2 linked regions of the Macaca fascicularis genome follow. The main gene of each other region encodes a partner of the protein of the gene in region 2 in a complex. Links are inferred from orthologs where the notes say so. Each region holds a gene or a part of one and is shown on either strand. Other genes may lie near its edges. The genes, in order: EIF3L and EIF3I.

What was found.
Region 1: EIF3I (region 2) and EIF3L share a complex: the UniProt entries of both Homo sapiens proteins name them as parts of the eukaryotic translation initiation factor 3 (eIF-3) complex. The link is inferred for Macaca fascicularis from reciprocal best matches to the Homo sapiens genes EIF3I and EIF3L.

The regions. Positions count from the first base shown.
Region 1 is NC_088384.1:13,735,467-13,750,943, forward strand, and holds part of EIF3L (eukaryotic translation initiation factor 3 subunit L), read right to left. Parts: intron 11,283-15,477; coding exon 11,128-11,282; intron 9,823-11,127; coding exon 9,652-9,822; intron 7,352-9,651; coding exon 6,854-7,351; intron 1-6,853. UniProt on the Homo sapiens protein: Component of the eukaryotic translation initiation factor 3 (eIF-3) complex, which is required for several steps in the initiation of protein synthesis.
Region 2 is NC_088375.1:202,795,125-202,810,601, forward strand, and holds EIF3I (eukaryotic translation initiation factor 3 subunit I), read right to left. Parts: upstream 12,554-15,477; 5' UTR 12,506-12,553; coding exon 12,503-12,505; intron 12,410-12,502; coding exon 12,317-12,409; intron 10,604-12,316; coding exon 10,516-10,603; intron 10,227-10,515; coding exon 10,161-10,226; intron 8,055-10,160; coding exon 7,905-8,054; intron 7,823-7,904; coding exon 7,695-7,822; intron 5,667-7,694; coding exon 5,556-5,666; intron 5,437-5,555; coding exon 5,347-5,436; intron 5,029-5,346; coding exon 4,955-5,028; intron 3,324-4,954; coding exon 3,231-3,323; intron 3,136-3,230; coding exon 3,054-3,135; 3' UTR 2,644-3,053; downstream 1-2,643. Other genes in the region: uncharacterized protein, read left to right, coding at 1,904-2,443; TMEM234 (transmembrane protein 234), read left to right, coding at 12,625-12,640, 12,929-13,080, 13,756-13,822. UniProt on the Homo sapiens protein: Component of the eukaryotic translation initiation factor 3 (eIF-3) complex, which is required for several steps in the initiation of protein synthesis.

The sequences.
Region 1 (15,477 bases), on a different chromosome or scaffold from region 2:
AGGTGAACCACTCGCCTTAGCTTCCCAAAGTGCTGGGATTACAGGCGTGAGCCACCGCACCCGGTCAAGTTTATATATATTTTTTTAATCAATTCATTTGTACTTTTATTTTCTAGACTTTTATTTTTGTCTTTTATTTATTTTTTTTGAGACAGTCTCACTCTGTCGCCCAGGCTGGAGTGCAGTGGTGCGATCTCAGCTCACTGCAAGTTCCGCCTCCTGGGTTCACACCATTCTCCTGCCTCAGCCTCCTGAGTACCGAGTAGCTGGGACTACAGGCGCCCGCCACCATGCCCAGCTAATTTTTTGCATTTTTAGTAGAGACAGGGTTTCACCATGTTAGCCAGGATGGTCTCAATCCCCTGACTTTGTGATCCACCTGCCTCGGCCTCCCAAAGTACTGGGATTACAGGTGTAAGCCACTACGCCCGGCCTAGTCTTTTTTATTTGGGGAATAAAGATGTTTATGCTGGCCGGGCATGGTGACTCACGCCTGTAATCCCAGTGCTTTGGGAGGCTGGGAGCTCGAGACCAGCCTGACCAACATGGTGAAACCCCATCTCCACTAAAAATACAAAAATTAGCTGGGCATAGTGATGGGCACCTGTAATCCCAGCTACGTGGCAGGCTGAGGCAGGAGAATCACCTGAACCCGGGAGGCAGAGGCTGCAGTGAGCCAAGATTGTGTTATTGCACTCCAGCCTTGGCAACAGAGACTCCATTTCAAAAAAAAAAGTTTCCGCGTCTACACTGTTGATAAAATTGCAAATTCGTCCAATCTTCAAATTTTGTTTTTAGCTGAAAATATTTTGAACACCGTTTTACTTTAAAAGTTTCTACATCCTCTAGGTTAAGACCTAAGAACATTCTAAATCTCTGATAGGATTTCTTTCAAGTTAAGAAAGAAGAGTCAAAAAGGGGGAAAAAAAGAAGCACTTTGCCAAAGACGAACCTGAACCAGCACCAGAGGAATAACAATAAAACATGCACTAAATAATAACCAAATGGCCAATTCTTAGGATAAATGTTTTGTTAAACCACCCAGATTAGTTGAGAATAGCTAGGCTGGTAATTAAGAGGTGACAGAAGGATGCAGGAGGCTACTATAATTGCCAAAGAATGTATATGTCAGGTATTGAGAAAAAACTAGGCCAGGCATGGTGGTTCACGCCTGTAATCCCAGCACTTTGGGAGGCAGAGGTGGGCAGACAACCTGAACCCAAGGAGTTTGCATTTGAGACCAGGCTGGGCAACATGGTAAAACTCCATCTCTACAAAAAATACAAAAATTAGCCAGATGTGGTGGTGCACTCCTGTAGTCCCAGCTACTTGGGAGGCTGAGGTAGGAAGGTCACCTGAGCTCCCAGGAGTTGAAGCTGCAGTGAGCCGTGATTTTTGCCACTGCACCCCAGCCTGGACAACTGGAGGAGTAAGATGCTATCTCCAAATAAAAAAAAAAAAAAGGAGAAAAAAAACCAGGCTTGACATGATTCTGGCAAGGGAGAGTTTTATTTTTCTTTATTTATGTATTTATTTATTTTTAGAGACAGGGTCTCACTTTGTTACCCAGGCTGGAACGCAGTGGCTAGATCGTAGTTCACTGTAGCCTCAAACGCCTGGGCTCAAGTCATCCTCCTGCTTCAGCCTTCTAAGGCAGGGGCTATAAGGGACTCCCTCCCATAGCTGGGACTACAAGTACACGCTACCAAGCCTGGCTGAGTTTTCTTTGATTTATAAAAGCATGATTTATAACAGTATTGGAAAACTTCCACTATTGACGTGTTATTACTTTTGGCAAAACTGTTTGTATCGGGGTAGCTAACTTATGCCAAAAACCAAATCTTCCAGAAGTCATAAAAATGAAATGAGAGTATTTATTTTAAAGCAAGATGAACTTGCAAAAACAGACTACCCAAACTGACCTAGAAATTCCACAACTAGATATATAGCTGAAAATTAAAAACATATGTTCACATAATAACTTCTAAATGAATATTCACAGCAGCACTATTCCTAAACCAAAAAGTGAAAAAAGGAACAAAAAAACCCCAAAATCCCAAATGTCCAACAACTAACAAATGGATAAACAAAATGCAGTACCTTAATACATGGGATATTATTCAGCTATAAAAGGAATGTACTGACACATGCTATAACACGGATGAAACTTGAAGACATGTTCAGTGAAAGAACCCAAACACAAAAGCCCATATATTACATGATTCCACTTATCTGAAATGTCAAATGCAGAGAGACCAAAAGCAGATTACTGGTTTGCCAGGGGATGGCAGAAAGGGGGAACTGGGGAACTGCAAGTGACTGCTAGTGGGTAGGGAGCTTCTTCTTGGGGGGACAGAAATGTTTTGGAATTAGACAGTGGAGATGGTTGCAAAACACTGTGAACATACTAATAACCACTGAATTGCTCATTCGTTCATTCGTTCAATTTATTTATTATTATTATTTTTTTGAGATTGAGTCTCGCTCTGGCGCCCAGGCTGGAGTGCAGTGGCGCAATCTCGGCTCACTACATGCTCCGCCTCCTAGGTTCATGCCATTCTCCTGCCTCAGCCTCCTGAGTAGCTGGGACTACAGGTGCCCGCCACTACACCCAGCTCATTTTTTGTATTTTTAGTAGAGATGGGGTTTCACCGTGTTAACCAGGATGGTCTCGATCTCCTGACCTCGTGATCCACCAGCCTCGGCCTCCCAAAGTGCTGGGATTACAGGTGTGAGCTACCGCGCCTGGCCCATTCAATTTATTTATTTATTTTTATTTATTTATTTTTTTTGAGACGGAGTCTCGCTGTGTCGCCCAGGCTGGAGTGCAGTGGCCAGATCTCAGCTCACTGCAAGCTCCGCCCCCCGGGTTTACGTCATTCTCCTGCCTCAGTCTCCCGAGTAGCTGGGACTACAGGCACCCGCCACCTTGCCCGGCTAGTTTTTTGTATTTTTTAGTAGAGACAGGGTTTCACCGTGTTAGCCAGGATGGTCTCGATCTCCTGACCTCGTGATCCGCCCGTCTCGGCCTCCCAAAGTGCTGGGATTACAGGCTTGAGCCACCGCGCCCAGCCCATTCAATTTATTTATGGAGACAGGGTCTCACTCTGTCACCTAGGCTGGAGTGCAGTGGCGTGGTCTTGGCTCACTGCAACCTCCACCTCCTAGGCTAAAGCAATTCTTGTGCCTCAGCCTCCCAAGTAGCTGGGATTACAGGCATGCACTACTACACTCAGTTAATTTGTGTATCTAAATAAATAAATAAAAACGAAAATCTTATCAGACATTAAAATGTCCAGCTTGAACTTAAAAGTACCAGTTAAAACTAACACCGTTCTTCAACCCGCCTCCCCTCCTGAGAGGAAGCTACTGCTATGTTGCTTGTTTATCCTTCTGGAAAGAACTTCATGCATACACAGGCATACACAAATGTATTACTAGTCACTCTGTAAAAATCTTTCTTGTATTTTTTGTAATATACAAACCATCCAAATGTTAATCAACAGGAGAATGGATAAACTGCAGTACAATAACAACAGTAGATGCTGGACTATCAGAACAACAAACACGAAGGAATCACTGCTACACACAATGGACGGTGACTCACTCAATTATAATGTTGGGCAAAAGAAGCCAGACTTAAAGAGTACATACTATGTAATTCCATTATATAAAGTTCACAAACAGGCAGCACTAACCCAAGGTGTTAGACATCAGGACAGGACAGGCGCAGTGGCTCACACCTGTAATCCCTGCGTTTTGGGAGGCCAAGGTAGGAGGATCACTTGAAACTAGCCTGGGCAACAAAGTGAGACCCTGTTTCTATAAAGTAAAAACTTAAAATCAGCTGGGAACAATGGTGCATATCAGAGTTCGAGACCAGACTGGGCAACATGGCGAAATCCCATCTCTACTAAAAATACAAAAAATTAGCCAGTCGTGGTGATGTGCGCCTGTAATCCCAGCTACTTGGGAGGATGAGGTAGGACAATCACCTGAGCCCAGGAAGTTGAGGCTGCAGTGAGCTGAGATTGCACCACTGCACTACAGCCTGGGCAACTAGAGCGAGACCTTGTCTTAAAAAAAAAAAAAGAAACTAGCCGGGCGCGGTGGCGGGCACCTGTAGTCCCAGCTACTCGAGAGGCTGAGGCAGGAGAATGGCGTGAACCTGGGAGCCGGAGCTTGCAGTGAGCCGAGATCCGGCCACTGCACTCCAGCCTGGGCGGCAGAGCGAGACTCCGTCTCAAAAAAAAAAAAAAAAAATAGGGCCGGGCGCGGTGGCTCACGCCTGTAATCCCAGCACTTTGGGAGGCCGAGGCGGGCGGATCACAAGGTCAGGAGATCGAGACCACAGTGAAACCTCGTCTCTACTAAAAATACAAAAAAAAAATTAGCCGGGCGCGGTTGTGGGCGCCTGTAGTCCCAGCTACTCGGGAGGCTGAGGCAGGAGAATGGCGTGAACCCGGGAGGCGGAGCTTGCAGTGAGCCGAGATCGCGCCACTGCACTCCAGCCTGGGCTGGGCGACAGAGCCAGACTCCGTCTCAAAAAAAAAAAAAAATAAAAATAAAAAAAAAAAAATAAATAAATAAATAAATAAATAAATAAAAGAGAGGCCGGATGCAGTGGCTCACGTCTGTAATCTCAGCAATTTGGTAGGCTGAGATGGGCGGATCAACGAGGTCAAGAGATTCAGACCATCCTGGCTAACACGGTGAAACCCCGTCTCTACTAAAAAATGCAAAAAATTACCCGGGCGTGGTGGTGGGTGCCTGTAGTCCCAGTTACTCAGGAGGCTGAGGTAGGAGAACAGCGTGAACCTGGGAGGTGGAGGTTACAGTGAGCTGAGATTGCACCACTGCACTCCAGCCTGGGCGACAGAGCGAGACGTCTCAAAAACAAATAAATAAATAAAATTTTTTTAAAAGGCCAGACACGGTGGCTCATGCCTGTAATCCCAGCACTTTGGGAGGCCAAGGCAGGCAGATCACGAGGTCAGGAGTTCGAGATCAGTCTGGTCAACATAGTGAAACCCTGTCTCTATTAACAATACACAAAAAATTAGCTGGGTGCGGTAGTGTGCGTCTGTAATCCCAGCTACTCAGGAGGCTGAGGCAGGAGAATCGCATGAACTCGGGAGGCGGAGGTTGCAGTGAGCCAAGATCGTGCCACTGCACTCCAGCCTGGGCGACAGAATGAGACTCCGTCTCAAAAAAAAAAAGCTTTGTGCAGTGGCAGTATGGCCAATGAAGGTTATGTGAGGTATGATTATTGCTAACTAAAAATAAAAAAATTAAAAAGGCAGCAGGACAATGGCTTCCCACTTGTAAAGTACTCCAACAGTCTACAAAGCACCATCCCCCTTTCTCCAACCTCATCTACATAGCCTCCTTTCTCAGGCCACTCGGGCATACCGCAGGTGTCCCTTAAACTTACTGGCCTCACTCCTCTTCGGGGCCTTTGCTCTAACTATTCCTTTGCCTGGAAGGCTCTTCCTCCAGGTATCTGGGGAGCATTTTTTTTTCTTGAGACAGAGTCTTGCTCTGTTGCCAGGCTAGAGTGCAGTGGTGCGATCTCAGCTCACTGCAACCTCTGCCTCCCGGTTCAAGTGATTCTCCTGCCTCAGCCTCCCAGGTAGCTGGGACTACAAGCATGTACCACCATGCCCAGCTAATTTATTTTTAGTAGAGATGGGGTTTCACCATGTTGGCTAGGATGGTCTTGATCTCTTGACCTCATGATCCGTCCACCTCGGCCTCCCAAAGTGCTGGGATTACAGGCAAGAGACACCGTGTACGGCCTTTGGTGAGCTAGTAAGAATCCTCCACCGGGTGGATTGCTTGAGGTCAGGAGTTTGAGACTAGCCTGGCCAACATGACAAAACCCTGTCTCTACTAAAAATATAAAAATTAGCCATGTGTGATGGCAGCCTCTTATAATCCCAGCTACTCAGGAGGTTGAGGCAGGAGAATTGCTTGAATCTGGGAGGCAGAGGTTGCAGTAAGCCGAGACTACATCACTGCGCTCAAGCCTGGGCAACAGACTAAGACTGTCAAAAAATAAACAAACCAAAAACCACTCCCTTCAAGTCTTAGCTTAGCTTAAACTTCACTTTCTCAACAAAGCCTGTCTGAACACCATATTTAACACTGCAACCTGTGCCTCCCACCACCTCTTCCTCCCTTTACTTTGCAGTGCTTGGCAACCTCTTATTACATAGTTTAATTATAACATCTATTGTTAGCTGGGCATGGTGGCTCACGCCTGTAATCCCAGCACTTTGGGTAGCCAAGGGTGGCAGATCACCTGAGGTCAGGAGTTTGACACCAGCCTGACCAACATGGAGAAACTCCATTTCTACCAAAAATACAAAATTAGTTGGGCATGGTGGCACATGCCTCTAATCCCAGCTACTCAGGAGGCTGGGGAAGGAGAATCGCTTGAACCTGGGAGGCGGAGGTTGTGGTAAGCCAAGATCGTGCCATCACATTCCAGCCTGGGCAACAAGAGCGAAATTCTGTCTCAAAACAAAAACAAAAACAAAAACAAAACAAAACAAAAAAAACCCAAAAAACATCTATTGTTTATCTCGTGTTTTTTTTTGTAAACAGAGACAAGGTCTCACTACATTGCCCAGGCTGGTCTTGAACTCCTGGGCTATAGTGATCCTCCTACCCCAGCCTCCCCTAAAGTACTAGTATTACCAGCGTGAACCACCGCGCCTGGCACCTTGTGACAGTACCACAAGGGCAGGAATCTCTGATTTTGTTCCCCGATATACTTTCATGTGCCCACAATAGTGAATGAAAGATAGTGAACACTTAATACAAGACCCCAAGCCCGGGGACAGCATACCTTATCAATGTAGAAGTCAACCTCTGAGGCTGACTGAAATTCACCATCCAGGGCTGAGATGCCGCTGGTCCACACCAGATTCTTCATCTTGTGTTTGAAGACAAGAAGCTGGATCCGGAACTCCTGCTCTGTGAGGTCCAGGAAGCCAGCCAGCTTGGCCACAGGCATGGTGGTGTAGAGCTTGAGGAAGCTGCGGATGGTGGAAAGCTGGGCCTGCTGCTGCACTTCATCAGAAAACACCTTCAGCTGCTGCAGGAAGGGCTCTTTGTGGTAGTTGGGGTGCACATTATCATAGTTGGGCACTACAGGCGATAGGAACTTGGGGCAGGAGTAACTGAAAAGTTCTTCATAGACTTGTGGGTCACCTTTCTGCATGCGCAGCATCTTGTCCCCATATTTCTCCCGCAGCTGGAGGTGAATGCTCTCATCAATACGCATGGGGTACATAGTGAGGGCAATGGCCAGCAGCGCATGCATCTGCTCATTCTGCTTGTTAATCTGGGAATGGGGTGGAGAGTTGTACCCGGTCAAATAAGATGGACTTCCTGAGGTCCCCACCGTCAGTCAACTGGCCTCACCATTCTCTGCACAGATCTTTCACTTACCCAGTTGTCTCATACCAGCCACTGAATTTACCCCACCTCTCTTCCAATCCTCCCTCTAGATCTACTTAACTTCCATCCTAGGTCCAGATCCTCCTTAGCCATTTCCTGGATTCCTTACTGGCACCTCTGCCTTAGTCTCTCCAGTTTGTCCCACACATCACTAGCAGGTCAATCCTTTTACACCAGTTAGGATCGAGTTACCCAAAACCTTTGATGCGACTTTGATGCCGACAGAATATAGACTAAACAGTCATGTGCTGTGCAACAACGTTTCAGTCAACAACGGGTCATGGGCTACATATAGGATGGTGATCCTACAAGATTATAATCCTGTATTTTTACTGTATCTTTTCTGTTCAGATACACAAATACCTTGTGTTACAACTGCCTATGTTATTCAGTACAGTAATATGTTCTAGAAGTTTGTAGCCAAGGAGCCATAGGCTATACCATGTAGCCTGGGTATGTAGTAGGTTATCCCATCTAGGTTTGTGTAAGTACACTCTAGGATGTTCACACAACAAAATCACCAAACGGTGCATTTCTCAGAATGTATCTGCAGCATCAAATGACACGGGACTATACTTTACCTGGGTTAATGAAGGTTCTCAGAATCCAATAACCCAATTCCTACTGCCTATTTGCCCTCCAGCCAAAACGGTTTATTGTGCTGCTGCATCACCACACCTTCAAGTCTCAACCACTTTGCTCATGCTATTCTCTGCCTAGGAAGCTCCTCCCAATTCTATGTATGCTTTGAACCCATCCTCCTTCCCATCAATATCCACACCTTATTTTTTTTATTTTTTTTTTTTTGAGACGGAGGCTCGCTCTGTCGCCCAGGCTGGAGTGCAGTGGCCGGATCTCGGCTCACTGCAAGCTCCGCCTCCCGGGTTCGCGCCATTCTCCTGCCTCAGCCTCCTGAGTAGCTGGGACTACAGGCGCCCGCCACCTCACCCGGCTAGTTTTTTGTATTTTTTAGTAGAGATGGGGTTTCACCGTGTTAGCCAGGATGGTCTCGATCTCCTGACCTCGTGATCCACCCGTCTCGGCCTCCCAAAGTGCTGGGATTACAGGCGTGAGCCACCACGCCCGGCCCACACCTCATATTAAAACACTCAGAAGCCAGTGAACACTCTGATGTTTGTATTTTTCTTTTTTTTTTTGAGACGGAGTCTTGCTCTGTCGCCCAGGCTGGAGTGCAGTGGCCGGATCTCAGCTCATTGCAAGCTCCGCCTCCCGGGTTCACGCCATTCTCCTGCCTCAGCCTACCGAGCAGCTGCGACTACAGGTGCCTGCCACTTCGCCGGGCTAGTTTTTTGTATTTTTTAGTAGAGACAGGGTTTCACTGTGTTAGCCAGGATGGTCTTGATCTCCTGACCTCGTGATCCGCCCGTCTCGGCCTCCCAAAGTGCTGGGATTACAGGCTTGAGCCACCGCGCCTGGCCTGATGTTCATATTGATGCTGAATAAATAAATGTAGGCACTGCTGGAGGATATAATTGAAACAAAAGATATTATCATCAAGATGTTAATGATCTGAGATAACAGGCATCACAACAGAAACTCTTAGAGTATGCTAGCCATTAAAACATCATTTTGGCCGGGGGTGGTGGCTCACGCCTATAATCCCAACACTTTGGGAGGCCAAGGTGGATGGATCACCTGAGGTCAGGAGTTCGAGACCAGCCTGGCCAAATGGTGAAACCCCATCTCTACTAAAAATACAAAAATCAGCTGGATGCGATGGCACATGTCTGTAGTCCCAGCTACTCAGGAGGCTAAGGCTGGAGAATCACTTGAACCCAGGAAGCAGAGGTTGCAGTGAGCTGAGACCGCACCACTGCACTCCAGCCTGGGTGACAGAGACTTGGTCTCAAAAAAAAAAAAAATTAGCCGCTGAGCCGCTGTTGTGTCTGTTGTGTGCACTTTTAGACCCAGCTATTGGGAAGGCTGAGATAGGATGATCGCCTGATCCCAGGAGGTTGAGGCTGACGTGAGCTGTGACTGCGTCACTGCACTCCAGCTGGGTGATCTACTAGTAGGCACAATCATCATAGAGCACTCTACAGCCGTGAACTCCTGGCTTAAAATTGCAATATTTTGGATGGTGTTTACCAAGAACGGTTGGCATAGGTGCCAAGGAGCCTTCTGATTAGAAAGGTCATTGGTGGCAGGCAGAGTCCCCCTTACCATCTCATACTTATATGTGGTCCTCTGAAACATGCTCTTGGTCCTCTGGATGTAGAGGAGGATGTTGGCGAAGACCCGGATGGCATCCTGGTAGCGACGCATCATCAAATATGCAAACCCAACATAATAGTATGTGGTGACCTGGCACTCTGGCACGCGGGAATACATACTCTGCAGAAGGAGGTGGAACATACATCCATGAGTCTCAATTCATCCTAGATAGAACCAGAGGTAGAAACACCAAGAGTTTTCCCTGCAGAGCCCTGAACTATCCAGAGGAAGCTCTGCAGTTCCAGAGTTTGAGAGCCCATCTTCCTATTCATCAATTAAGTTGTATGTTTTGAGGAATCCATTTTCTTAGCTGTAACAAGAAGGTTCTGGATCAGGTAATTCCTAAAATCTCTTTCAGCTCCAAAATGCTATACATCTCAGTTTTGTTATTTTTCCTTGTTTTTTCAATTAAGTCCTTTTGGACAGGGAAGACAGAAACACATACACACACATGAACCAAACACCAAATAATCTGTAATATTTTTCTGTGGTTAGGAAGAACACAACAGCTAACCATGTATCAATGAACATACCATCTCAGAATTACATCTTTACTTCTTTTTTTTTTTTTCTGGGATGGAATCCTGTTCTGTCACCCAGGCTGGAGTGCTATGGTGTGATCTCGGCTCACTGCAACCTCTGCCTCCCAGGTTCAAGTGATTCTCCTACCTCAGCCTCCTGAGTAGCTGGGATTACAAGTGCCCACCATCACACCCAGCTAGGTTTTTTTTTTTTTTTTTTTTGTATTTTTAGCAGAGACAGGGTTTCACCATGTTGGCCAGGCTGGCCTCGAACTCCTGACCTCGAGCGATCCACTTGCCTCAGCGTCCCAAAGTGCTGGGATTACAGGCGTAAGCCACTGCAACTGGCCTTCTCAATCCTTTAGCAAAACGTGAAGAGTAAAGAACTGCCATGGGCCAGGTGCAGTGGCTCACACCTGTAATCCCAGCACTTCGGGAGGTCAAGGTGGGTGGATCATGAGGTCAGGAGATTGAGACCATCCTGGCCAACACGGTGAAACCCCATCTCTACTAAAATAAAATAAAATAAAAAAATTAGCTGGGCATGGTGGCGCATGCCTGTAGTCCCAGCTACTCAAGAGGCTGAGGCAGGGGAATTGCTTGAACCCAGGAGAAGGAGGTTGCAGTGAGTCGAGATGCGCCACTGCACTCCAGCCTGGCGACAGAGCAAGCTGCCATGATCACTCCATTTTGAAAAGAGAATAAAAAACTGTCATTAACTATCAAAATCGTCCAGGTCCAGCTTTTTACCACAGCTGTTTGCCCAGTTTTAGTCTCAACTTTCAATGGCCTGAGGGAAGAGTCCTCTTTCCTCTCCTGGAAATTTGTCCTAAGAGATCAGAGTGGTTCTCTAGAAATACATATTCTGGCTCTGGCAAGAAGGGCCAGAGGCAACAGGCATCACCTTCTTGTTCAGTTCGATGTTCTCCAGCACCTTGATAGCCTGGTAGTAATCTCCTAACAGGGAGTGCAGGCGGAGGAGCCCCACCAGGCTGAAGTAACCAAGCATTTTGTAGAGGGAGTGCCGCCCATACTCCCCAGCCACACTCTCGGGGTCACCTGAAAAAGAGAGACACCGTGAATACTCTGATAGGAGGCAGGTAAAGGCATGTATACCTGACCTCTGATTGTTACTCAGTAGGCATCTCACCTACTGCCAGCCTTGAAAGCTTCCCTCAATTGGGAATAACTTCAAAGGAATACCACGAAACAGCAAAACCAATCTTATGCTAATCTTAAATTTACCAATATTTGCTTACAGGGTGGCAGTTCAGTCTGCTTATTTTTTTTTGGTCCCAACACATGAAAAGGCCCCTCTCATCAGTAAAATACATCCATGAACACTCCTCCTTTCAGAACGCACATGAGGTCAAAGCTATTTTCCTAATAACAACACTAAGATGCTACTTGCCCTTCCCACTAAGTTGAATTTTACATGATGCAAACGCTATGTTGGGTAAAATTACTGTTAACTTAAGCATAAATCAGGTAGCGACACAAAATTGTACTGATAGTCACTGTATTGTTCCTTGCCATGCATTTATTTGCACTAAAAGAACTAGTCCTTAGCCAGGCATGGTGGCTTGGACCTGTAATCCCAGCTACTTGGGAGGCTGAGGTGGGAGGATTTGCTTGAGCCCAGGTACCATATCTGAATAACCAGAGTTTGTATCAGTTTTTGTTGTTGTTATTTGTTTGTTTTGAGACACAGATCTATGGAAGTGCTACTGCATTTTGGCCTGGGTAACAGAGAGACTCTGTTCTTAAAAAAAGACAAAAAAAAGAAAGAAAATCCTTTTTTCATGGAGTATCATTTTTACTTGAAAGAACAACTGATACACAGCTGAGCGCAGCTCATGCCTGTAATCCCAGCACTTTGGGAGGCCGAGGTGGGCGTTATCACTTGAGGTCAGGAGTTTAAGCCCAGCCTGCCCAACATGGTGAACCCCGTCTCTACTAAAAATACAAAAATTAGCCGGGTGTGATGGTGTGCACCTGTAGTCCCAGCTATTGGGGAGGCTGAGGCAGGAGAATTGCTTGAACCCGGGACGCGGAGGTTGCAGTAGGCAGAGATTGTGCCACTGCACTCAAGCCTGGGCTACAGAGCAAGACTCTGCCTCAAAAAAAAAAAAAAAAAAAGGCCGGGCGCGGTGGCTCAAGCCTGTAATCCCAGCACTTTGGGAGGCCGAGACGGGTGGATCACGAGGTCAGGAGATTGAGACTATCCTGGCTAACACGGTGAAACCCCGTCTCTACTAAAAAATACAAAAAACTAGCCGGGCGAGGTGGCGGGCGCCTGTAGTCCCAGCTACTTGGGAGGCTGAGGCAGGAGAATGGCGTGAACCCGGGAGGCGGAGCTTGCAGTGAGCTGAGATCCGGCCACTGCACTCCAGCCTGGGCGACAGAGCGAGACTCCGTCTCAAAAAAAAAAAAAAAAAAAAAAGGCGGGGGGGGGGGAAGGGCACACATTTTCACAAAAATGAAGTAAACCTGTCACACCTCAAAGAAAAGAACTGACAGTGTTTGCTACCAATACAACAATTCAAAAGTTGGGCACAGTGGCTCACACGTGAAATCCCATGAGTTCAAGATCGGCCTGGGCAACAAAGTGAGACCATGTTTCGTCTTTTTTTTTTTTTTTCCTTTTTGTGGAGAACGGGGTCTCGCTATATTACCCAGGCAGGTCTCGAACTCCTGGACTCAAGCTATCCTCCCGCCTCTGCCTCCCTGAGAGCTGGGATTACAGGCGTGAGCCACCGCGCCTGGCCGTGAGACCATGTTTCTATTAAAAAAAAAACCAAAAAAACAGCCAGGAATAGGTGCACATCTGTGGTCTTAGCTACTCAGGAGGTTGAGGTAGGAGGATCACTTGAGCCCAGGAGGTCGAGGATGCAGTGAGCCATGATTTTGCCACCGCACTTCAGCCTGGGTGACAGAGTGAGACCCCATCTCAAAATAAATAAAAATTCAAGCTATTAAGCAAAAATGGAATTTTGTAAAACTTGTATCTGCCACTACAAGCTCTGTAGCTGACGAATAAATGCTTACCTGATATCAGTGGCAAAAGTAACAAATGTGACTTTTTCAAAAAAATGTAATAAAATGTGTTAACATTTGGAAGATCTTTATAACTCAGTGAACCAATTTTTTTTTAAAAATCACACATGGCCAGGCACAGTGACTCACGCCTGTAACCCCAGCACTTTGGGAGGCCGAAGCAGGCAGATCACTTGAGCCCGGGGGTTCAAGAGCAGCCTGGCCAACATGGTCAAACTCTGTTCTACTGAAAATACAAAAATCAGCTGGGTGTGGTGGTGCGTGCCTATAATCCTTCCTTTCTATATCCTGGGAGGCTGAAACAGGAGAATTGCTTGAACCCGGAGGCAGAGGTTGCAGTGAGTTGAGATCATGACACTGCACTCTGCCTGAGTAACAGAGTAGATTCTGTTTCAGGAAAAAAAAGTCACACATGGATGTAAGGAACTCATTCAAATTACAAGAGTGACCAATAACGTTAATATAACAAAAGAAAAATTCACTAATACAGTTTCAGATTCCTCACTGCACCTAATCTGTATGAAACTACCAATGGTTATTTCAAAGTACAGGGTGAGTATACTTCTATAAATGCTTGTGACCAGAAGTGTTCTGGATTTTGCAACTTTTAATATCCGCATACATCTAATGATATATCTTTTTTTTTTTTTTGAGACGGAGTCTCACTCTGTTGCCCAAGCTGGAGTGCAGTGGTGCCATCTCGGCTCACTGCAACCTCTGCCTCCCTGGTTCAAATGATTCTCCTGTCTCAGCTTCCCAAGTAGATGGGATTATAGGTGCCCAGCACCAAGCCTGGCTAATTTTTTGTATTTTTAGTAGAGATGAGGTTTCACCATGTCGGCCGGGATGGTCTTGAACTCCTGACCTCAGGTGATCTGCCCGCCTCGGCCTCCCAAAGTGCTAGGATTATAGGCGTGAGTCATGGCACCTGGCCCTAATGAGGTATCTTAAGGATAGGATTCAAATCTGAACATAAAATTCAATTATTTTTCATATATGTCTTATACACACAGCCTGAAAGTAATTTTATTATAATCTTTTAAATAACTTTTGTGCGTGAAATAAAGTTCTGACTGCAACTGGTCACATGGGCTTGGGGGTAGAATTTTCCAGTTACGGCATCATGTGCGTGCTCAAAAAGTCAGATTTCGGGCCGGGCGCGGTGGCTCAAGCCTGTAATCCCAGCACTTTGGGAGGCCGAGGCGGGTGGATCACGAGGTCAGGAGATCGAGACTATCCTGGCTAACATGGTGAAACCCCGTCTCTACTAAAAATACAAAAAACTAGCCGGGCGTGGTGGCGGGCGCCTGTAGTCTCAGCTACTTGGGAGGCTGAGGCGGGAGAATGGCATGAACCCGGGAGGCGGAGCTTGCAGTGAGCCGAGATCACGCCACTGCACTCCAGCCTGGGAGACACAGCGAGACTCCGTCTCAAAAAAAAAAAAAAAAAAAAAAGTCAGATTTCGGAGCATTTCAGACTTCAAATTTTCAAATCAGGAATATTCAACCTATACATACTACTACATGGTGTAGTATCAAAGAAAATCCTCTCCAATAAGCCTGGCACTTTTGGGAGGCCAAGGCAGGATTGCTTGAGCCAAGAAGTCCAAGACCAGACTGGGTGACACAGCGAGACCCTGTCAACAAAAAACTCCTTCCTTTCTATATCTGCATTAAGCCAGATTTTCTTTCTTTCTTTCTTTTTTTTTTTCCAGATAACCTCTCGCTCTGTCGCCCAGGCTAGAGTACAGTGGTGTGATCTCAGTTCACTGCAACCTTTGCTTCCTGGGCTCAAGCAATCCCCCGACCTCAGTCTCCCAAGTAGCTGGGCCTCCAGGGGCACCCCGCCCACCATGCTCGGCCAATTTAAACACTTTTTTTGAGACAAAGTCTCACTATATTGCCCAGGCTGATCTCAAGCTCCTGGGCTCAAGCGATCTTTCTGCCTAAGCCTCCCAAAGTGCTGGGATTACAGGTGTGAGCCACAGTGCCTGGGTCAGATTTTCTTTCTAATCAAACAAAAGATTACACTGCAACAGATTGCATGCAGAAGGAGAAATGAGAAGCCAGCTAACTTGTATGAAGCCAGACAGAGAGACCGGCAAAAATGCCACTCTTCACTTAAAAAAAAAAAAAAAAAAAATTTTTAAAGTATAGATACATTTTGTGGTTCTCAATATTTTAACAGGGTAAAGTGG
Region 2 (15,477 bases):
CTTGCCCCTGTCTCCAAATCTCATACTTCCTCCTAACTTCTGCAAATCCAGAGATAAATAGGTCTAAGGCCAATCATTTAGACATACCTACTCTGTCCATAGCCAATTGCAAATGAACCCCTGCCTTGAAAACAAGGATTACAGGGGAAATTTGCTGCAAAAATAGTTTCTGGGGTTCTCTACCACTTTGCCAGGTTGATTCTTTCCAAGCAATAGAATGGAAGTTGAAAGCAGAGTCTAATAATTTGGGCTCAAATTCCAGTTTCATCACTCACCTGCTGGGTGTTCATAGCAAACCTGTTTGAGTCTCAATCTCATCAGTAGCATGAAGGGGATAAAAGTAGCCGTAATCTGGCCGGGTGCAATGGCTCACGCCTGTAATCCCAGCACTTTGGGAGGCTGAGGCAGGCGGGTCACCTGAGGTCAGGAATTCGAGACCAGCCTGACCAACATGGTGAAATCCCCGTCTCTACTAAAAATACAAAAAATTAGGCTGGGCACAGTGGCTCACACCTGTGATCCCCGCACTTTGGGAGGCTGAGGCGGGTGGATCACGAGGTCAAGAGATCAAGACCACCCTGGCTAACATGGTGAAACCCTGTCTCTACTAAAAATACAAAAAATTAGCCAGGCATGTTGGCACCTGCCTGAAGTCCCAGCTACTCAGGAGGCTGAGGTAGGAGAAACACTTGAACCTTGGAGTCAGAGGTTGCAGTGAGCCAAGATCGCGCCACTGCACTCCAGCCTGGGTGACGGAGCAAGACTCCGTCTCAAAAAAAAAAAAAAAAAATTACCCGAGCGTGGTGGCACATGCCTGTAATCCCAGCTACTCAGGAAGCTGAGGCAGAATTGCTTGCACCTGGGAAGCAGAGGTTGCAGTGAGCCGAGATCATGCCACTGCGTTCCAGCCTAGGCAACAGAGTGGGACTCCATTAAATAAATAAACAAATAAATAAAAGAAGTGGTATTTTTATTATTTGGTTGGTCTCTTGTTGCATACGCTCCCAATCAGCCCCAGATGCCAGCTGTCTTATGAGACTGAGATGCGGGGAGGGAGGGTTCACTCCTTTCCAGGGTGAAGATCAGATTTAATTATATTTTGTTGCTCAGTCTTCCTCCATACCCCATCCTGCTTCACTAACCCTACTAGTCTTGGATCATCTCTATTTACTTCCCTCTCCCCCATCCTTCATCTTTAGTCTTTCTCCTAAAATTGTCTGAGTTTGGTCCTCCCTTGCCAGAAGGCCCTCCCCCGGTCTTCATCCACACTGGTCTCTCCCATCTGGATTCTCCAGCAGCTGCCTCACTCTTCTCTGCATCTTCATTGTTATCAGTTTTCTTTCAAAAGCTCCTGGGTCCAGGCCTATCAATATTCACAGTGGGCCTTTCCCTCCTTCTTTCTTTGGCTCCTGCCATTCTCCCCAAGTGTTGGCTGTTGCTTTGCACAGCGGGTATGCTAGGTCTGTTGAGACTCAGCTCAAACATCACATTCTTTTTTTTTTTTTTTTTTTTTTTTTTTTGAGACGGAGTCTCACGCTGTTGCCCAGGCTGGAGTGCAGTGGCGCGATCTCGGCTCACTGCAAGCTCCGCCTCCCGGGTTCCCGCCATTCTCCTGCCTCAGCCTCCTGAGTAGCTGGGACTACAGGCGCCCGCCACCGCGCCCAGCTAATTTTTTGTATTTTTAGTAGAGACGGGGTTTCACTGTGGTCTCGATCTCCTGACCTTGTGATCCGCCCGCCTCGGCCTCCCAAAGTGCTGGGATTACAGGCTTGAGCCACCGCGCCCGGCCAAACATCACATTCTTAATTAGCCTTCTCTGACACTGAGGCAAAACTAAATTGGTTTCTCCCTTTAAATAGAACTCCTTAAGAAGTAGGACTTTGTCTTGTTCCTTTTATTCTAGTGCCCAGTACAAGATCTGACTGGCAATGTTTGCAAGAAAAAGGAGAAAAGGAGAGGTTATCACTGCTCCAAAGTGGCTGTCACCCTACTAACCAGGGCTGCCCACCCAGACTCCCAGAGGGCATACCTGGGGCTGGAAACTTACTCCCTGCCTTTCTGCAGATGCCCGTGTGAAGTGAGGGCTCGGACGCACTCCCTGTGGTCTTGGCTCAGCCAGCCAAAAGAGCAACAAAGACTCCGGAACCCACTCTACATCCTCAATCCCTTGGCCATCTGTGGAGCCCCAGAGCCTGCGGCTGGGCAAGGTGAGCCCCACACCTTCTCCACGGGGGATTATCCCTCCGCTCAGCGTCCTGACCTGTGTTCCTCCTCCTCGGGCCTGTTTCTTCGCTGGACCCACTCACCTAAGCCTGCAGAAGCCGCATGGGGGAAGAGCGTGGCAAACAGTGACAGGAAGGGAGAAGACAGAAGCCTCTCAGCCAACTACTTCAGCCCCCACCCTAAGCACTGGCTCCTTGGACAGCAACCGAGACATTCCTGAAACCTCTGCAGGCCCCTTAGGACCTTTACACCTTGGAAGAGGATGCCTGCAACCCAGGCTGGCCAAAAGTACGGACGGTCTTAAGTTTGAGGTGTCCAAAGTATAGGGAGGTCTAAATAATAAAAGTCTCCATGATCGGCATCCCCTTGCTGGGGTGTCAGTGAAAAGGAAAGATGATAAAACAGACCCCACAAAATATCTGACCAGAAGCCATTTATTACCAAACCAATTTATTTCTTAGAGTTCAAAACCTTCTGTGAGAATCTTCTCTGGCCCGGATAGAGATCCAGCTTATTATTATTATTATTTTTTTGAGACGGAGTTTCGCTCTTGTTGCCCAGGCTGGAGTGCAATGACACGATCTCAGCTCACTGCAACCTCCGCCTCCTGGGTTCAAGTGATTCTCCTGCCTCAGCCTCCTGAGTAGCTGGGACTATAGGTGCGTGCCACCACGCCCTGCTAATTTTTATATTTTTAGTAGAGACGGGGTTTCTTCATGTTGGTCAGGCTGGTCCCAAACTCCTGACCTCAGGTGATCCGCCCACCTTGACCTCCCAAAGTGGTGAGATTACAGGCATGAACCACCGCGCCCGGCCGGAGATCCAGCTTCTCAAGCCTCAAACTCGAATTCGAAGTACTGTGGGTCGAAGTAATGGATACGGACGTAACCATCTTCACCGCCGCTGCTGTAGCTGGAAAAAGATAGCCAGGCACCAGTCAGGTGCCTACTCTAGGAGAGGCAGAGACCCAACCCGGGCTTAGCTCAGCTGCTTCACTGGGACCCTACCTCTTGCCATCAGGATGGAAAGCAACACTGTTGATAGGTCCAAAGTGACCCTTGACTCTTCCAAACTCTTCTTCAAAGGCCAAATGGAAGAACCTGGAGGAAAAGGGACACAATTAATTCACTTTCCATTTCCTTCCAAAACATTTTGAAGGTGGCGCTCCCCAAATGCAAATTGTTATATTTATTTATTTATTTATTTTGAGACGGAGTCTCGCTCTGTCGCCCAGGCTGAAGTGCAGTGGTGCGATCTCAGCTCACCGCAAGCTCTGCCTCCCAGGTTCACGCCATTCTGCTACCTCAGCCTCCTAAGTAGCTGGGATACAGGTGCCTGCCACCATGCCCGGCTAACTTTTTTGTATTTTTAGTAGAGATGGGGTTTCACTGTGTTAGCCAGGATGGTCTTGATCTCCTGTTCTCCTGATCTGCCCGTCTCAGTCTCCCAAAGTGCTGGGATTACAGGCGTGAGCCACCGCACCCGGCCCCATTTATTTATTTTGAGATGGAGTCTTACTCTGTCACCCAGGGTGGAATACAGTGGCGCAATCTCGGTTCACTGGAACCTCCACCTCCTGGGTTCAAGCAATTCTCCTGCCTCAGCCTCCCGAGTGGCTGGGATGATAGACGCCTGGCTAATTTTTGTATTTTAGTAGAGATGGGGTTTCACCGTGTTGGCCAGGCTGGTCACCAACTCGGCTTCTGCTTTATTTTTTGTGATATAATTTGCATTTGAGGCCAGGCGTGGCGGCTCATGCCTGTAATCCCAGCACATTGGGAGGCCAAGAAAGGCAGATCGCTTGAGGCCAGGAGTTTGAGACCAGCCTTGCCAACATCTCTACTAAAAATACAAAAAGCAGCCAGGCACGGTGGTGTGCACCTGTAATCTGAGCTACTCAGAGGCTTAGCGGGAGGATTGCTTGAGCCCAGGAGGTTGCAGTGAGCAGAAATGGTGCCACTGCACTCCAGCCTAGGCAACAGAGTGAGACCCTGTCTCAAAAAATAATAATAAAGCAGAAAAATTGAGATAATAAGTGAATGTGAACAAAATAAGATGAAGTTGGGGGCTGTGGTTCACGCCTGTAATCCCAGTACTTTGGGAGGCTGAGGGCAGAGGATCACTTGCGCCCAGGAGTTCGAGGCCAGCCTGGGCAACATAGTGAGACCCTGTATCTTTATTTTTTAACTTTTTTATTATAAGAGGAAGACCGGACCCAGAAGTCTGCCTAAATTCATAGCTAATACTTATAGAGTGCCTACTACGTGCTGGGCAGTGCTTAAAGAGCTTAATAAATATTAACTGAATAATTTAATCTGCATAATTTTATGGTAAGTATATTGTCACTGTCTCATTATACAATAGAGGAAATATGGGCATAGAGAAATATAATGAAGGCCGGGCACAGTGGCTCATGCCTGTAATCCCAACACTTTGGGAGGCCAAGGTGGGCAGATTACTTAAGGCCAGGAGTTCATTCAAGACCAGCCTGGCCAACATGGTGAAACCCTGTCTCTTCTAAAAATACAAAAATTAGCCAGGTGTGTTGGTGGGTGCCTGTAATCCCAGCTACCCGGGAGGCAGAGGCAGGAGAATCGCCTGAACCTAGGAGGCAGAGATCACACCATTGCACTCCAGTCTGGGTGACAGAGCAAGACTCCGTCTCGGGGAAAAAAAAAAAAAAGGTGCACCCCATGAGATTTCAATTTGGAAGAGCTCTCTTCCTCTTTACCTGGCCTCAAACTTGCCAATCCTGGTGGAGGTTGTGGTTACATCCATGGCTTCCTGACCACCGCCCAGGACCACCTGAATGGAAGAAGAAACTCTAGATGGGCCCGATGGACACCAAGTCTATTTTCTGTTTTTCTCCTGCCATATACATTTTTCACATCTCACACAGCTCAATGGGAGGATACCAAAGGTAGGGGATGATCAGACACTTCTGCCACCTCCTGCCCGCTTCCCTGGGGCTATTCATCCTTCCAGCTTTGTCACTCCTCTGGGAATCTCCTCTCTGCCTGACATCATTTCCCCCACAATGTTGTAGCCCAACTTCTGGACAAGCATCTAGAACTTGGAAGCTTCCTGAGGCTTTAGCAGGAAGGCTGGATGGGGTTCTCTTACATGGTCATAGTTGGGGGAGAGAGCAGCTGAGTTGACGGGACGTTCTGTCCGGAAAGTCTTCTGATGTTCAAGAGTTGTGGAGTCAAAAAGCTGGAGAGAGAAGGCAAGGGGGATATCTGTAGAAAGAGCCTTCCTGGGGGAAGTCGGGCAGGGTGAGCTGTGCAGCAGGAGGGAGGCAGCAGCCCTGCCAGACCCCTGCCCAGGCTCACCTTGGCTGTGTTGTCCTTGGATGCGGTCACAAACATGGTCATGTCCCTGGATAACTGGATGTCATTGATCTGCCGGGAGTGCTCCTTAACATTCACCAACACCTCTCCAGACTGGGGAAGGAGGAAGAATGAGACTGACTGGGCCCAATCCCTACTAATCTCAGTTCCCCAGAAACCTAAGCACCCAAATGAGAAAGCTGAGATAGCATGGACTTTGTGTTTTCCTCACCCCCTCTATCTAATCAGTCACCCCTAAATATCCCTTGACTCTGTCCAGTAATGTACATCCTATGCCTGATGGCTAGTTCAGGTCCATTCTCCAAACATAACCTGCAAGCGCTGTTGGAAGGAAAATCTGGCCATAGATAACCCTTTCAAGATTCCCTACTGCCTGGAGGAAAATCAAAACTCTTTATCTCCTCACACTTAAGGACGTTTAAAATCTATTCCCTGTCCTCTGTCCCCAAGACTGCATCCCAATGGTTCCTGAAGACTCCATACTTTCTTAACTCTGTGCCTTTGCTTTTGCTGTTCCTTTTGCCTGTGGGATGTTCTTTCCTTCCTGCTTGAAGCTCCATTTATTCTCCAGGGTTTAATGTACACACCACCTCCCTGGGACAGTGCACCTTCCACACCTGGTTGAGACTTCTACGGTGGCACAGTTCACAATCTGACTCAGGTGCTAGCTGTTTGCAAGTCCCTTCCAAGGGGGAAGGGACTGTGTCTGATTTACTTCTTTGTTCTAGGAACTCAGCACAGGGCATTATACTCTGGTGGCAGGGAACTGCTCATTTGTGATCCTTAATTTTTTTTTTTTTTTTGAGACAGGGTCTTGTTCTATCACCCAGGCTGGAGTACAGTGGCACAGTCATGGCTCACTGCAGCCTCAATCTCCCAGACTCAAGCAATCTTTCAGCCTCAACATCTTGAGTACCTGGGACCAGAGGCACGCTCCACCACACCCAGCTAATTTTTAATTTTTTTTTTTTTAGAGATAGGGTTTTCCTGTATTGCCCAAGCTGATCTCAATCCCTGGGGCTCAAGCAATCCTCCTGCTCCAGTCTCCCAAAGTGTTGGGATTCCAGGTGTGAGTCACCGCACCCGGCCTGTGATCCTTATTAACATGTCCTGAGTACTTTGTGACAAGTTTTTCAAACATGTGATATCATTTGATCCTTGAAACATTTTACAGATAAACAGGGTCAGAGAAGTTATGTAACTTGCCCAAGATCACACAGCTAAAAAGTAGTGAAATCTACATTTCAATCTCACCTCTGCTCTTTTTAAAAATTTTTATTAATTTTTTCTTAATTTATTAGAAAATCCCAGCACTTTGAGAGGTTGAGGCGGGTCAACCTCCCTAAGTGCTGGGTCTCACTGTCACCCAGGCTGGAGTGTAGTGGTATGATCACAGCTCACTATAGCCCCAACCCCTGGGCTCAAGAGATCCTCCTGTCTTGGCCCCCAAAGGCACTGGGATTACAGATGTGAGCCACAGCATACAGCTCCGCCCTTGCTCTGAACTACTGTGCTATCACCAGTGCCTGAGGCAGGTGGATCATCTGAGGTCAGGAGGTCAGGGGTTTGAGACCAGCCTGGCCACCATGGTGAAACCCCATCTCTACTAAAAATACAAAAATTACCCAGGCATGGTGGTGGGTGCCTATATTCCCAGCTACTTGAGAGGCTGAGGCAAGAGAATGGCTTGAATCCAGGAGGCAGAGGTTGCAGTGAGCCAAGATCGTATCACTGTACTCCAGCCTGGTCAACAGGGTGAGACTCTGTCTCAAAGAAAAAAAAAATACAGGTGTGGTGGCTCATGCCTGTAATCCCAGCACTTTGGGAGGCGAAGGTGGGCGGACTGCCTGAGGTCAGGAGTTCGTGACCAGTCTGGCCAACATGGTGAAACCCCATCTCTACTAAAAATACAAAAAAAATTAGCCAGGCATGGTGGCGTGTGCCTGTAATCCCAGCTACTCGGGAGGCTGAGGCAGGAGAATTGCTTGAACCCGGGAGGTGGAGGTTGCAGTGAGCCGAGATGGCACCACTGCACTCCAGCTTGGGCGACAGAGAGAAACTCTACCTTAAAAAAAAAAAAAGAATCATTCTGGTAGGCTCAGGCCCCATGTGGCCTCTTACCTTGGCACTATACTGGTTGAGCTCTCCACTCTCATGGCCAGCGATGATGCACTCCCCCAGGGGTCCCCAAACGGCACTGGTGATTTTAGAGTCGTTGCAAGGGATCTTCATGTAGGGCTCATTGTTGTCTGTGTGGAGCAGTAGATGTTAGGCCCTGGGCTCTAGAGCTGCACCCTTTACCTCAACCCCAGCCCTAATCCCAGCCCTCACCAATCTGGCTCGGATCCCGCAGGTCAAAGAAGCTCACAAAGCACTGGTAGCCCATCTGCTTGTCTGTGGAGAACATGATGATGTTGCCCCCAAAGTCAAAACCACAGGTCCGGACAGCCGAATTGGTCTTGAGAAGGGCCAGCTGCTTCCCTGGAAACAGGCAAGAGTCTGGGCTACACCATCCATTGCAATTGCAGGGAGGACATTCTAGAGAATGCTACCATCGCATCTCACTGTTTCTCTTGCTCCAGTAACCCAAACTTAGAAAGTATTTTTTCTTTTTTTTTTCTTTTTTAAGACAGAGTCTCGCTCTGTTTCCCAGGCTGGAGTGCACTGGCACGATCTCCGCTCACTGCAAGCTCCACCTCCCGGTTCAAGCCATTCTCCTGCCTCAGTCTCCCAAGTAGCTGGGACTATAGGCGCCCACCACCATGCCCCGCTCATTTTTTGTATTTTTAGTAGAGACGGGGTTTTACCATGTTAGCCAGGATAGTCTCGATCTCCTGACCTCATGATCCGCCCACCCTGACGTCCCAAAGTGCTAGAATTACAGGTGTGAGCCACTGCGCCAGGCCCTTTTTTTTTTTTTTTGAGATAGAGTTTTGCTCTCGTCCCACAGGCTGGAGTACAATGGTGTGATCTCGGCTCACTGCAACCTTTCAAGCGATTCTCCTGCCTCAGCCTCCCAAGTAGTTGGGATTACAAGCACCCGCCACCATGCCTGGCTCATTTTTGTATTTTTAGTAGACGGGGTTTCGCCTTGTTGGCCAGGCTGGTCTTGAACTCCTGACCTCAGGTGATCCACCCCCTCGACCTCCTAAAGTGCTGGGATTAACAGGCGTGAGCCACCACACCTGGCCAAGTATTTTAACTTCTTATCCAGACTCTTTCCTCAGACATCCTGCTAATGTGGTACTGCTCATACGCAGACTGCAATATATCTATCTCCCCACTCAGACTGCAATCCTCCACAGCAAAGACCTGATCTGATTTCCCTGCATGTCCCCAGTGCCCAGCATAGACCTGGCACTAAACAGAACAACTTAGGCTGGGCACAGTGGCTTATGCCTGTAATCCCAGCACTTTGGGAGGCTGAAGTGGATCACTTGAGGTGAGGAGTTTGAGACCAGCCTGGCCAACATGGTGAAACCCCATCTCTACTAAAAATACAAAATTAGCCACCGGCCAGGCGCAGTGGCTCACGCCTGTAATCCCATCACTTTGGGAGGCTGAGGTGGGTGGATCACCTGAGGTCTGGAGTTTGAGACCAGCCTGGCCAACACAGTAAACCCTGTCTCTACTAAAAATACAAAAATTAGTCAGGTGTGATGGCGCATGTCTATAATCCCAGCTATTCGGGAGGCTGAGACAGGAGAATCACTTGAACTCAGGAGGCAGAGGTTGCAGTGAGCCAAGATTGTGCCACTGCACTCCAGCCTGGGTGACAGAGCGAGAGAATCCGTCTCAAAAAAAAAATTAGCCAAGCATGGTAGTGTGCGTCTATAATCCCAGCTACTCGGGCTGGCTGAGACAGGAGAATCCCTTGAACCCGGGAGGCAGAGGTTGCAGTGAGCCAAGATCATGCCATTGCTCTCCAGCCTGGGCGACAGCGAGACTCTGTCTCAAAAACAAGAAAAAGAAAAAAAAAAAAAAGAAAACTTAATAGGCTCCCCTGTCTTCAGTCTTAGCTCTTCCAGTGCCTCCCCCCTGCTCCCTGACCTTGCTAAACTGAACAGACCCCCACTCTTGCCTGCTCAGGGACCTCCACAGCACCCCATATTCTATGGAACAAAGCCAAGCTCCTGAGTTTGGCATTCAAGACCTGTTCTGGCCTTAGCCTGACTCTCCAGCTTCATCTTTTCCATGACTGTGTATTTCACCCCCCTACCCCCACCCCACCAAGAAGCAGGAATTGCAGCCAGATCAGATGACTTGGACACAACAGTCTCCACGCTTTCACTCCTGCATGTGCCAAAGTGATGACGTCTTTCCTCATCCTTTAAGCTCCAGCTCATATGACATTTACCTTGGGAAACCTTCCCAGGCTGCTCCCATCCCCACTCTAGGGAGCCAGTTGCTGGGCTCTGGCCTCCCATAGTAATCTACGCTTCCTCTACCATGGTGTGTATCTTACTGTAAGACTTCTTTTCTCATCTGTCTTTCTTGTCTCTTATTCCCTAGACTGGAAACTATCTATGGATTTCATCTCTATTTTCCTAGGACCTGTTGCTAAAAAAGTGAATGAACCTAGCTTACCTGTTTCACAGTCCCAGAGACGACAGCTGTTGTCAGCTGAGCCAGTGAGGACATGCTTGGTGTCCCCTGAAGAGTTGTTAAGAAACATGACGAAGTTCACCTGAGCCCTTGTCCTCTGGGGGAGGCCAAGTGAGTCATCTCCCTGTTCAGCCCCAAAGAGCCTTTCTTCCCCTCTTACCTCCTTATCCAGAACTGGAACTTGTCCTAAATGTTTCCCCAGCCAGTGAAGAGACCAGGGAATAGGAGGTATTGTTCTCTAGGCCCTCAACAACACCCCCAACTCCCAACTTCCAACCTAGCCTCTCCATTGCTGACAGACCCTAGCAGCATGGACTCAGAGCCAAAACAAGGATACAGTCAGCGTCCACACACCACACAGCTCCGGTATGGCCCATGTAGGTGCCCAGCCTCTCACCATTCACAGAGTACCATACATTGACGATCTGGAAAAGTCAAACCACAGGATAGTAAGAGCGATGCTTCCTACTTTACCCCAGGAACCCTCAGCAGCCTGTAGCCAGGCTGATTCTGCCCTCTTCTCTTCATTTCTTGGGAAACAGCAGGGAGCTGATAAAAAGACCAACTCCTGGATTCTCCTCCCTTTCTGAAGGTAAGCAACAGAGGAGTCAGGCGGCTTGTAAAAGCATCCTCATTTGTTAGCTCCAGCTCTCCTGGGACTCCCAGTGGCTCCAAAGAATAAAAGGCCAAGTTGAGCTCCAGTCCAGAAAAACAGTATCTCTGATGTCTTATCCAAGTGGGAGCAGCTGATAGTAGGGAAGTCTGGGTTCCAGTGCCTGCTCTGCCACTGTCTCACTGTATGATCTCAAATACAGTGCTTCTCTCCTTTGAAGTTCAGTTTTCTCATCTTGAAAATGGCCAGGCTGGGTGTGGTAGCTCACGCCTGTAATCCTAGCACTTTGGGAGGCTGAGGCAGGCGGATCACCTCAGGTCAGGAGTTCAAGACCAGCCTGGCCAACATGGTGAAACCCTGTCTCTACTAAAAATACAAAAAGTTAGCCGGGCGTGGTGGCACGAGCCTGTAGTCCCAGCTACTCAGGAGGCTGAGGCAGGAGAATCGCTTGAACCTGGGAGGCGGAGGCTGCAGTGAGCCGCGATTGCACCACTGCACTCCAGCCTGTGTGACAGAGCGAGACTCCGTACCCCAAAAAATAAAATAAAATTTTAAAAAGGCAGTATCATGAGGGACTGTTTTGCATTGAGTAGCAGAATGGGATTGACTTAAAATGAGACTAGAGACAGCCTCATTAAGTCCCCTGTGTCTGAATAACACAGCCTGCACTATCCTGGTAGAAAAATTAGATTATCCCTAAAGGCCGCATCCCATTCTCTGGGCAAGCTGACCCTCATCCTTATCCCCTTTCCACAGTGGTCTCTTGCTTTTCTTTTCTTTTTTTTTTTTGAGACAGAGTCTCGCTCTGTTGTCCAGGCTGGAGAGCAGTGGCGCCATCTCGGCTCACTGCAGCCTCCGCCTCCCGGGTTCACGCCATTCTCCTGCCTCAGCCTCCCGTGTAGCTGGGACTACTGGCACCCGCCACCACGCTCGACTAATTTTTTGTACTTCTAGTAGAGACGGGGTTTCACCGTGTTAGCCAGGATGGTCTCGATCTCCTGACCTCGTGATCTGCACGCCTCACCTTCCCAAAGTGCTGGGATTACAGGCTTGAGTCACCCCGCCCGGCAACTGTCTCTTGCTTTTCTTGGAGTACAGTGGCACGATCTCAGCTCACCGGGCTCCAGCGATCCTCTCGTTTCAGACTCCGAAGCAGCTGAGGCCACAGGCGCGAGCCACCACATCAGGCTAATTTTTTGTGTGTAGAGATGGGTCTTACTATGTTGCTCAAGCTGGTCTCCAACTCCTGGACTCAAGCGGTCCTCCCACCTCGGCCTCTCAAAGTGCTGGGATTACAGGCGTGAGCCACCGCAGTCGGCCAATCGAGTTCTTCCCTACCTTTCCCAGTAGAATACTTTCGCCAACCTACCCCCGGGATGGCCTCTCCCTACTTCTCAGAATGGGCCGTTCTTTGGTTCCCCGCTAACGGCAAAACTGGCATGTCCACCCATCGTCCTGGCAGAAGGATCTCTCGCCTCCCGGACCCCCTCCGCATGGTCCCGCCCGCCCTCCAGCCGACGCTCACAGGGTCCTTGGCCACAGTAAAGAGGAGGTCTCCTTCGCGGTTATACTTAATCTGCGTAATGGACCGCTCATGGCCCTGCAGTAGGATCGGCTTCTGTGGGGACAAGATGGTAACGTCAGTGCTCGGAATTGGGCCCCGGCCTCAGCCCAGGACGCCCACTGCAATACCCATAACTCTGAAACTCACCATCCCGGCGGTGACGCGAGGAAGGCCGCAACGTGAGTAGGACCGGAAAACGCTTTGGGTCCACTTCCGGATTATGGGTCTCCGCCCCCTCGTTCCCGGAAGTAGAAGACAGCGGCGTTGCCATGGCGGCGTCTCTGGGTAGGTAGCCGACCCCGCCCCTCCATGGATTTCCCGACCCTCGCCTCGAATTCATTTCCTGCTCCACCTGCACCCCCTAATCCCGACCCCTGCTACAACCCCAGAGGCTGGACTCCTGGATTCATCTCCCCAGCCTCGCTGGGCCTGCCTTAGCCGCCAGTCGCAGCCGAGGCGAAGACAGCGAAGGAGGGAAGTCGGGGCGGCTAGCTGGGGCTAGGAGGCCAGGAGAGGGCGGGGTGGGCGGCCGTTTGGGGTGGGGGTCAGGGTGACGCACTCGTCTGTATTCAGGGCAGGTGCTGGCTCTGGTGCTGGTGGCCGCTCTGTGGGGTGGCACGCAGCCGCTGCTGAAGCGGGCCTCCGCCGGCCTGCAGCGGGTTCATGAGCCGACCTGGGCCCGGCAGTTGCTACAGGAGATGAAGACCCTCTTCTTGAATACTGAGGTGCGTCTGTGAAAGGCCCCTCTCTCGGGGGAGTTGCCACCAATAATTTGGTCTTTGGAGTCAAACAGGTCTGGGTCAGCCCCACCCCCACTCACCAGAAATTCTCCGAAGAGTCAGTTGTCCTCCTTAAGCCTCAGTTTCATCATCTGTAAATGGCGATTATAATAATAACAACCATCTGATAGGGCAGTTGTGGGAATTAGGTGAGATACGTAGAGCATTTAGCTTTGGGCCTAGAACATAGTAAGTGCTCAATCTATGGCTGCCATTATTCACATTTTATTATTGTGATTCCTTCAGTTAAATAAGGCAACATTTGTGAGCCTTTCCAGAGGGAGGACTTAGGGCTCAAATTGGCCCTGCAGGGGAGGAGTTCAGAGAAGGAAGGCTGGAGCTGGAGGACTTGGGGAAGGATTCCTGGAGGAGCTGACATTGGCATCAAGGCCTTGCAGGATGGGAATTAGCAGAGTTGAGGGAGAGGGTAGTTTGAGCAAAGGCACAGAGTTCAGTCTGTTTCCCTCTTTGCCCTGGAAGGGTTCTCCTTAGAGGGATTAGTGTTCTCTGGGTCTTTATAACCCTCCCTCCCTCCAAGGAAAGGCATTCGCTAGGAGCTCAAAGAAGGCAGTGCTGCTCAGTCAGGCCATCACACTGACTGCAGGTTTCTCCTCTTTCCAGTACCTGATGCCCTTTCTCCTCAACCAGTGTGGCTCCCTTCTCTATTACCTCACCTTGGCATCGACAGGTGGGTCCTGGCTTGGAACTGTTCTGCTTAGTGTTTGAGGCCACCTGGAAGAGTGATTTGAGGGGGTGGAGCTTGAAACACCTCATTCCCATCAGTGAGAGAGGGCTGACTAGCTCTAGTTCCCTCTTAGTACCCTCTTCTCTGAACAAGAGGGACACAGTGGGCTGGTTATGAGTATGTTGCTAGGCACTGGTGTTGGTTTGAAGCCTGGCAGTCTTGTGTGACCAGCGGAGGAAGAAGGAAGGTTCATTTTGCTGTGCCAAGTGCTGGCTTTCACATTCTTGCTTCCACTGTGTGCTACCTGCCTGACCATGAGCAAGTCCCTCATTTGAGCCTTGGTTTTATACAGCTGGCTTCATAGCATTGTGAGGATTAAATTTAATGAATGAGAAACATGTAGGACAGTGCCTGGCACACAATTAGAGCCCCATATACATAAATTTCCTTTCTCTTGACATTTGTTGACTGCCCTCTACTACGTCAGATACTGCACTAGTCTTACACATTATTTAATTCCAATCATGATTCTGTAAAGCAGACATGATTATCTTAGAAAATGAAGTTGCAAAACTTTGGGCAATTTCACCTCTCTTAAGTCCCACAGTATGTCAGTGCAGAAGGATTTGAAGCCATATATTAAAGTTTATGCTCGACTGGGCATGGTGTCTCACGCCTGTAATCCCAGCCCTTTGGGAGGCCAAGGAGGGCAGATCACTTGAGGTCGGGAGTTTGAGACCAGCCTGGCCAACATGCTGAAACCCCATCTCTACTAAAAATAACAAAATTAGCCAGGTGTGGTGGTGCGTGCCTGTAGTCCCAGCTACTTGGGAGGCTGAGGCACAAGAATGACTTGGACCCAGGAGGCGGAGGTTGCAGTAAGCGGAGATCACGCCACTGCACTCCAGTCCCTGGGCAACAGAGCGAGACTCTCTCTCAAAAATAAATAAATAAATAAATAATATGCACTTATTTATGAGTTTGAAAGCCTCTGGCCTCATGCATTCACTGCTGTGGAAGAATGCTGAACCCTTGACCAGCTGACTACAGCTAGCCATTCACCAAGTTTTAATCACAGTATTAGATTCTTTTTATCTCATTACCCTCTCTGCCTATATCCTTTAATATCCATCCTTTCTAATAACCAGAACAGTAATCACTATTTATGAAGCGTCCACTTCAGCCAGGGACGATCCATGCATTATCACAGCTCATCTTAACAACAGTCCAACAAAAGAAATGGTATACTGTGATCCCTGTTTTACATATGGGGAAACAGGTTGAGTGTTTGAATATCCTAACCAAGATTACAAGGGAAACTCAGATCTGCCTCACTCCAATGCCCTCACTTTCCCACTGCACCATGCTACATCCTTCTCCCATCTACTGTTGCAAACCAGACCTCAGCAGCCATGACACTCCTTGTAAGGTATATAAACTTAAGAAGGCAGTTCTGGGCAGGGCACAGTGGCTCAGGCCTGTAATTCCAGCAATTTTGGAGGCTGAAGTGGGCAGATAACCTGAGCCTAGGAGACCAGCCTAGGAACAACAGCAACAAAAAAAAATACAAAAATTAGCTGGGCTTAGTGGTGCATGCCTGTAGTCCTAGCTGCTCAGGAGGCTGAGGTGGGAGGATCGCTTGAGCTCAGGAGGTTGAG